Linked DNA regions of Schizosaccharomyces pombe. The gene in region 1 interacts genetically with each later gene. Each region holds a gene or a part of one and is shown in the gene's direction. Other genes may lie near its edges. The genes, in order: yam8 and pek1.

Evidence for each region.
Region 2: of yam8 (region 1) and pek1, changing one suppresses a phenotype caused by changing the other (phenotypic suppression), as found in Schizosaccharomyces pombe (one study listed by BioGRID).

Annotation. Positions count from the first base shown.
Region 1 is NC_003424.3:273,115-277,161, forward strand, and holds yam8 (plasma membrane stretch-activated calcium ion channel Yam8), read left to right. Parts: upstream 1-1,974; coding exon 1,975-3,435; 3' UTR 3,436-3,547; downstream 3,548-4,047. Other genes in the region: PAK-like kinase Shk2, read left to right, coding at 38-1,807; hem14 (protoporphyrinogen oxidase), read left to right, coding at 3,779-4,047. UniProt on the Schizosaccharomyces pombe protein: Calcium-permeable, cation-selective stretch-activated channel (SAC) that functions together with CCH1 to mediate calcium entry into cells. Required during mating.
Region 2 is NC_003423.3:4,310,449-4,314,660, forward strand, and holds pek1 (MAP kinase kinase Pek1), read left to right. Parts: upstream 1-1,994; 5' UTR 1,995-2,314; coding exon 2,315-3,406; 3' UTR 3,407-3,692; downstream 3,693-4,212. Other genes in the region: ATP-dependent RNA helicase Dbp8, read right to left, coding at 1-898, 988-1,111, 1,179-1,308; fit1 (CoA pyrophosphatase (FIT) family lipid storage protein), read left to right, coding at 4,040-4,212. UniProt on the Schizosaccharomyces pombe protein: Involved in the mkh1 signal transduction pathway that plays a role in cell wall integrity. Activates spm1/pmk1 via phosphorylation.

The DNA of each region.
Region 1 (4,047 bases):
GAAGCATGTATACCAAAACTATTGCATCGTTTTCAAAATGCTTTTAAGTGTAAGAGGCGTGCCGGTTGAAATTCCATCTCTCAAAGATACAAAGAAAAGCAAGGGAATCATTCGATCAGGATGGGTTATGCTGAAGGAAGATAAAATGAAGTATCTCCCTTGGACTAAAAAGTGGCTAGTACTTTCTAGCAATTCTCTGTCGATATATAAAGGAAGCAAGTCTGAAAGTGCTCAGGTTACGTTGCTGTTGAAGGATATTCAAAAAGTAGAGCGTTCAAAGTCTAGGACATTCTGCTTTAAATTGAGGTTCAAAAGTAGTACCAAAAATTTTGAGATTCAAGCTTGTGAATTGTCCGTGGCCGATAATATGGAATGTTATGAGTGGATGGATTTAATATCTTCTCGTGCGCTTGCTAGCAAAGTTTCAAGTCCGATGAATCCTAAACACCAAGTGCATGTGGGAATTGATAATGAAGGAAATTATGTCGGATTACCCAAGGAGTGGATATTGCTACTTCAGAGTAGTTCGATTACCAAACAAGAATGCATGGAGGAGCCGAAAGCAGTTATTCAAGCTTTGGATTTTTATAGTAAGCAGTTGGATACAACAAGCGAAACTAAAGATAGTTTTTCATTTTGCAAAGAGACACTGCCACGATCCTCTACTACATCGTATTCTATTCGCGATGCTGACAAACATCATAAACTCACGACATCTGGAGTTACTAAAATGAATATTACTGAAAGATGCAAGCCGAAGACAACCATACAGACGGATAAAAAGCATATCATAAGGCCTTTTATTGAAGACAAAAGTCATGTAGAATCTATCATGACCGGAAAAGTAACCAAAGTACCGGTCAAAGCAGATTCAAAGAACACGTTGAGTAGAAGAATGACTGATAGACAGGCTTTAGCCATGTTAAAAGACTCAGTTACTTCTCATGATCCTGTCGAATATTTTAATGTTAAGCATAAACTTGGCCAGGGTGCATCGGGATCTGTTTACTTAGCCAAAGTCGTCGGAGGAAAACAATTAGGTATTTTTGACTCAGTTGCAATAAAAAGTATTGATTTGCAGTGCCAAACAAGAAAGGAACTAATCTTAAACGAAATCACTGTCATGAGAGAATCGATTCATCCTAACATAGTGACATATTTAGATTCATTTCTTGTTCGAGAAAGGCATTTATGGGTTGTGATGGAGTACATGAACGCTGGATCTTTGACTGATATTATTGAAAAAAGTAAGCTTACAGAAGCACAAATTGCTCGTATTTGTCTAGAAACGTGCAAGGGAATTCAGCATCTGCACGCCAGAAATATTATTCACAGAGATATTAAAAGTGACAATGTTTTACTCGACAACTCTGGAAATATTAAAATTACTGACTTTGGATTTTGTGCTCGATTGTCTAACCGTACTAATAAACGAGTTACGATGGTTGGAACACCATATTGGATGGCCCCTGAAGTAGTAAAGCAAAACGAATATGGGACCAAAGTTGATATATGGAGTCTTGGAATTATGATTATAGAGATGATTGAAAACGAACCGCCTTATCTCAGAGAGGATCCAATTCGTGCATTGTATCTGATAGCAAAAAATGGAACTCCAACTCTTAAAAAACCTAATTTAGTTTCTAAAAACTTAAAATCTTTCTTAAATTCCTGTCTTACAATCGATACCATTTTTAGAGCTACTGCTGCTGAGTTGCTGACACATTCATTTCTTAACCAAGCATGTCCGACTGAAGATCTAAAATCTATCATTTTCTCTCGCAAAGCGAATACCCATATTAATTAGGTCCAAAATTTACTTTTATGATTATTTGAATATTTTTAACGATCCTTAATGATATACAACTTGCTAGTTTTTTAGAAATTTCAATTAACTTCTCAATTTGCATGTGCGAAACTTTTGAGCTTACTTTTGAATATTAAAGCCTTGAAAGTAATTACTAAAGGTTCTATATGTTTTTTTTTAGCACCCATTTAATTTTGAAGATACTCTTTTTCTGGTCGATAACTAGAAACATATTTGGCGCTACTTATACTAGCTTGCTGCTGAACAATACCATAAATGGTAATATAAATGATCAAAGCACTGCTTACTATAACTTAACATGGGAAGGAAACACAGCTTACAACGTTAGTCTAACTTTATCAACCTGCACTGCTTTTGATGGCGCGAACGATTTGATGTTATATATATCGAACAATACGTTTGACGAAGCTCTTCCTTTAGATAATTTTACGATTACTGCTTCTGAAAATGGTCTAGCAACGATATTTGTAACCGGCTACTCACCTTTATATATTGCTGTGTCCAGTGCTTTTTCTCAATTTGCTCCCAATTTTTTTGTCGAGTCAGGTGAATCTACTTTAGAAGGTAATAATGTGATTAATTATGAATTAGCTGCTGGAATTGACACTCCCTTTAGTCAATACAATGCAACTAAATTTCTGTTTGCCCAGGACACCGACTTTCAAGCAGCACTACTCATTACGGGAAATCTCACTACAAATGAGACCTCCATCATCCCTTCTTATGAGATATATGTCAACCCTTCTAACTCCACTTATGATAACACATTTAACAAATTTTCAAGTTCTTTCTGTGCTTTTCAAAACAACCCCTCAACTGTTAACACTAACAATGCTGATCGCTCAATGACCCTTCGTGGTCTCGGTCCTTTTGCTAAAGAACAATTTTATTTGAAAGGTTTGGATCCCAACGTCACTTACACAGCGTATCTAGTCGAGCCCAATATAGGGCAACCGGGTGGTACTGTTTACCCAGGAGTCACTTTTACCACAAAGACTAGTCCAGCTTGTCAATTGATCTACGATCTGCAGTTTTGCTCAGAAGTTGCTTATGCTGTGCCTGGAAATTCTAGTTTATTTTCTGCATCGGCATTGGCAGAATGGTATGATCAGCAAGCTTACGGATATTATCAAAACTTTACTTATACTCTCGATTTGATACCTTGTAATGCTACATCTTGGTCTGCGTATTCATTATTAAAAAATTGTAGTGATTGTGCCAACAGCTACAAAAATTGGCTTTGCGCCAGTGTCATTCCGCGATGTGCCGACATTAATGATAATTCTTCCTACTTAATTTACAAAAACTACGATTCCCGTTATCCACTTATTGACGAAGTAATACAACCAGGCCCCTATAAAGAGGTCCTTCCTTGCTCTTATTTATGCTATTCATTAGCTTCAAGTTGTCCTTTAGATTTAGGCTTTGCATGCCCGAAGGCTGGTTATGGCCTTGAGTTTTCTTATGGAGAAGTGAGCAATGTAACAGGATTAATCACATGTAATGCACCCGGAGTGGAATTTTATGAAAGTGGTTCTGCTCTTCTTAACATTTCATGGCGGACTTTTTTTATTTCCTTGATTTTCTGGATTTTGTTTGTCGAGTAATGGTCATTCGTTTATGTCGTTTTTGAGTATATTACTTGCACATATACATTTGTATTCATATGTGCTAGTGTATCTTTTATTTGCCTATCTAAAAATTTTACATGAAATTCTTAATAAAAAAATTGAAGACCTTGGAGATATCTGTCATCCAAAATCATCTTATTTATTTATTTATTTATTTAAAACTACGTATCTGTAAACTATCAACGTAATAAACTGTAACACGTCTTTTAACTAAATCACGTTCTTAAAACTACTGACTTTTGGATAAGTTGACAGAGTTGAAATCATGTCATTCCTCTTTCCCCCATCATTTTGGCATTTGCCTTGAACCAACAATTCTATGTCAATTGCAATTTGTGGAGGAGGTATAGCTGGTCTTAGTACAGCATTTTATCTTGCTAGATTGATTCCAAAATGTACTATTGATTTGTACGAAAAAGGTCCTCGTTTAGGTGGATGGCTTCAGTCGGTCAAAATCCCGTGTGCAGATTCTCCAACAGGAACGGTTTTGTTTGAGCAAGGTCCTAGAACTCTTCGTCCTGCTGGGGTTGCTGGCTTAGCAAACTTAGATTTAATTAGCAAGTTGGGCATCGAAGACAAGTTGTTAAG
Region 2 (4,212 bases), on another chromosome or scaffold:
ATATTCAGAAAGCTTAGTTCCTACTCGATCCTCAATAGCATGGACTAAATCAACATCTCTCTCCGTTACAATGGAAATGGACTCGCCACTGCGTCCAGCACGAGCTGTACGACCTACTCGGTGAATATAGTCGTCTGGGTCACGAGGAAGGTCGAAGTTAATTACTAGTTGCACAGAAGGAATATCCAAACCTCTGCTTGCAACGTCAGTGGCTACCAAAATTTTTGCAGCTTCCGCACGAAACCGTCCAAGTGAATTGATCCTTTCACGTTGTACCATTTCTGAATGAAGTTCGGTGACACGAAGCTCGAGCAATCGAAGAATAGAATATATCAATTCAGCAGTGCGAGTCCGATTTACAAAGATAATTGCAGACTTTTTAGCGTTCTCAGGAATCGTTAACAAATGCACCAAATAAGCTTCTCGTACTTGTGAGGAAACAAATATGTAACTTTGCTGCAAAGTAGAAGGTACGGAAATGTTATCAGTTTCAACTTCGTATAACCAAAGGGGAGGCTTATTATTTTTCTGTGGCTGATATTTGAGCTGACGAATAGCATCAGTAACAGTTGCAGTAAACAAAAGCGTTTGACGATCTTCAGAGGCTGGAAGAACAGAAAAGCAATCATCCAAGTCATCAGCAAAGGTAGGAGACAACAAACGGTCGGCTTCGTCCATTACCAAAAATTTTATTCGACGTAGTCCGGCTATCGTTTCTTCACCATTACTTCTAATCAAGTCAGCTAGGCGACCAGGAGTAGCTACAACAACATGGGGCCGTTTCGATAAATCAATAGATTGTCGTATCATATCCATGCCTCCAACGATGAGCGCATGCTTTAAATTAAGATTAGCACCTAAAGCAGCAAATTGTTCATCAATCTGTATTGCAAGTTCTCTGTTCGAGTTAGCTAATTGTAGTAGAATAGTTAACATTTATACTAATTTAAATTTTAAGAAAAAGTACAATAATGTTATATTTTATACCTGGTTGGTGTCAAAATAAGAGCAAATATTCCTGATGGATCCTTAGACCATTTTTCAATAATAGGCAAAGCAAAAGCAGCAGTTTTACCAGAACCTGTTTTAGCACCTCCAATACAATTACGTCCTATAAATTTTTATTTGTTAGGCACATTTTACACTTAATTTTACTTTATTAATTTTTGTAAGCATACCTTCTAAAATCTGAGCAATTACTCCTTCCTGAATATCTGTAGGTTCATATATTGCAAGTGCTTTTAGCGTATCGATAAGCCATGGCGATATTCCTAAATCAGAGAATGATTTTCTTGTATGTTCTGACATGTTTTCTCCCCGATGTAAGGGTTTTATTTAAATTAAATATAATGGTTACTGTACTGTCAAACCAAACTATTGGGATTCAACTTGTTGCCCTTACTGCAAAATTAACACGCTACGCTACATTACGCTGCTTTAGACATTATTGCTGATGCGACATTTTTCAATGACTTTTAGGTCAACATACACAGATAAAATCTTCATATGGTTAACATAAAGTTTTTATTGTTCTCTAAAATAAGTACAGATAGAACTCAAACTAATTTCTTCAGTTTGCTTGTAAGTTATTTAGTGCTTTTTCGGTAAACCAACGTGCAAAACACAATATTTGAACTTTACGTAGTTAATCGTGTTCTTATAATAGTTAACGGATTGTATGTAGTTATTATAAGCCATAGAAAATCATGCAATGATAAATATATTCTTTTATGTTTTCCTTGAACAAAATTAATTATAATTTTAGAGGTAGACATTTATAGTAAATAAAAGAAGAAAGCTCACAGGATATGATAGTCTCATAATTACATTAACTTATACTCGTAATGAACAATTCCCGAAGTCGTTTTAACAAAGGTCTCACTAATTCTAAAATAACGTATCTACATAGCTAAGTCCATAAGTTATTTAGTGAAGTCCTAATTTAGAAATGTAGGTTATACTAATAATGGTCAATCGTATTTAGTATAGCTTCCGAAAACTATACGATTTCTTCTAATAGAGGCCTCGGTTGTTTGTTTGCGAGGAATTAACTCTTCCATCAAAGTTTCCGTTTATAGTGCTATCCTCTAATTTTCTAATTCAGGAAGCAAAAACTTCAAAAAAGTTTATAATTGGTAGGTTTATTTAGCGGGAAGACCATACGTTAGAATTTACTTTCCTTGCGTTTTTGGAAAAGAAGAATAAAAATTGAAGTTTGTTAAAAATACAAACAAACTTTTGGACTTGGTATCAGTCATCTCTTGTCACTCTTTCTACAAATTGAAAAAATATCGAAGAAAGCGCCCATGCCTCTATGTCCAAAAAACCTGTCTTGAACTTAGATACCAGTAATGGGTTCTCTGAAGAATATATAAGTCATCCTGAACGTAATGACAATCAAGGAATTGTCGAGATTACAGACCTGGTGTTTTCTAGCGAGTCGAAATTAACTCAGCGAAAGGAGAGCCGGGATAGTAAAACATTTGTTCCTTCCTTTCTGGAAGAACTTGATGATGATCACCTACATGAATTGGTTACAAATGGAGGTATTTTGTACATGAACAGTCTAGGTGAAGGTGTTAGTGGCTCTGTAAGGAAATGCAGAATTCGTGGGACTCAGATGATTTTCGCTATGAAAACTGTATTAGCTGCTCCGAATACCGCTTTACAAAAGCAACTCCTTCGAGAGTTAAAAATCAACAGAAGTTGTACCTCTCCTTACATCGTTAAATATTATGGCGCTTGCTACAATAACGCAGAGTGTCAGTTAAACATAGCTATGGAATATTGCGGAGCAGGATCTCTCGACGCGATATACAAACGCGTACGCAGTCAAGGTGGACGCACTGGAGAACGACCATTGGGCAAGATTGCATTCGGTGTCCTTAGCGGTTTAAGCTATTTACATGACAGGAAAATAATACACCGTGATATTAAGCCATCAAATATCCTTCTGACGTCAAAAGGTCAAGTGAAGTTATGCGATTTTGGTGTATCTGGAGAATTGGTTAACTCTCTCGCTGGCACATTCACTGGAACTTCGTATTACATGGCGCCTGAACGAATTTCTGGGGGATCTTATACTATATCGTCAGATATATGGTCTTTGGGTTTAACATTGATGGAGGTCGCATTAAACCGGTTTCCATTCCCTCCCGAGGGTAGCCCCCCACCAATGCCTATTGAATTGCTCTCGTATATAATAAATATGCCACCTCCCCTTTTACCTCAAGAACCCGGTATTAAATGGTCGAAATCCTTTCAACATTTTCTATGCGTGTGTCTGGATAAAGACAAAACTCGTCGTCCTGGACCCCAAAAAATGCTTACCCATCCTTGGGTTAAAGCGTTTGAGAGAATTCATGTGGACATGGAAGAGTTCCTTCGTCAAGTCTGGTCTGATTAGAAGAAATAGTGTCATATGTTAGCACTGTAAGTTGATAAATTCTGTTTGAAAATTCTTATGCTAAATTTCTTTACATTGGAGAATGCATAATCTGATTAATGGCAAAATATTATGAGTCTAACTGTCTTCCAGTTCGCTTGTTGTATGAAATAAATAGGAAAGTCATAATAATATATACTTTTTATTAATTGCTAACGGTTTTTCTAATTTTCTTTATACAAATACCTCCTTTATAGTAATTTTATGGGTTTAACATTTTTAACAGAAATAATTTTGGCTTGATTATGCATACTCAAATCGTAGCGAGAAATGATAGATTTACGCCTTGCTAGCTTTTTAACAAAAATAGGCAAAATAGGCGTTATATGGCAACTTAAAAAACGAAAGAATTCGTATATTTAATTATCCACAATTAAGGACTATTTCTTTTCGTTCTCTTATAACGTGAGGCAATGATTCGTTTTTTTTCTAGTCTACGCACGTAAGTTGGTGGTGTAACTACACCAAACTTCCCAGGGTATACATGTCCTTAACTCTTTCAATGAATTAATTGCTTTTCACTACACCGTTCTATCTTTATTTTTAAGTTTAATTTGTATACGTTGTCTGCCTAATAAAAATTATTTAAAAAAAATGACTGAAAAAACTGCTAGTCATTATTGGAATGAAGAAACCTCTATATTGAAGCTTCGTCGCAAAGATATACTTCTGTTTGAAATATATGCCACTACACTTCTTCTAGGTAGCATTTATAGCATTTATGTTGACAAATGGTCGATTACCTCTTACTTTGGAAACTCGAAAAA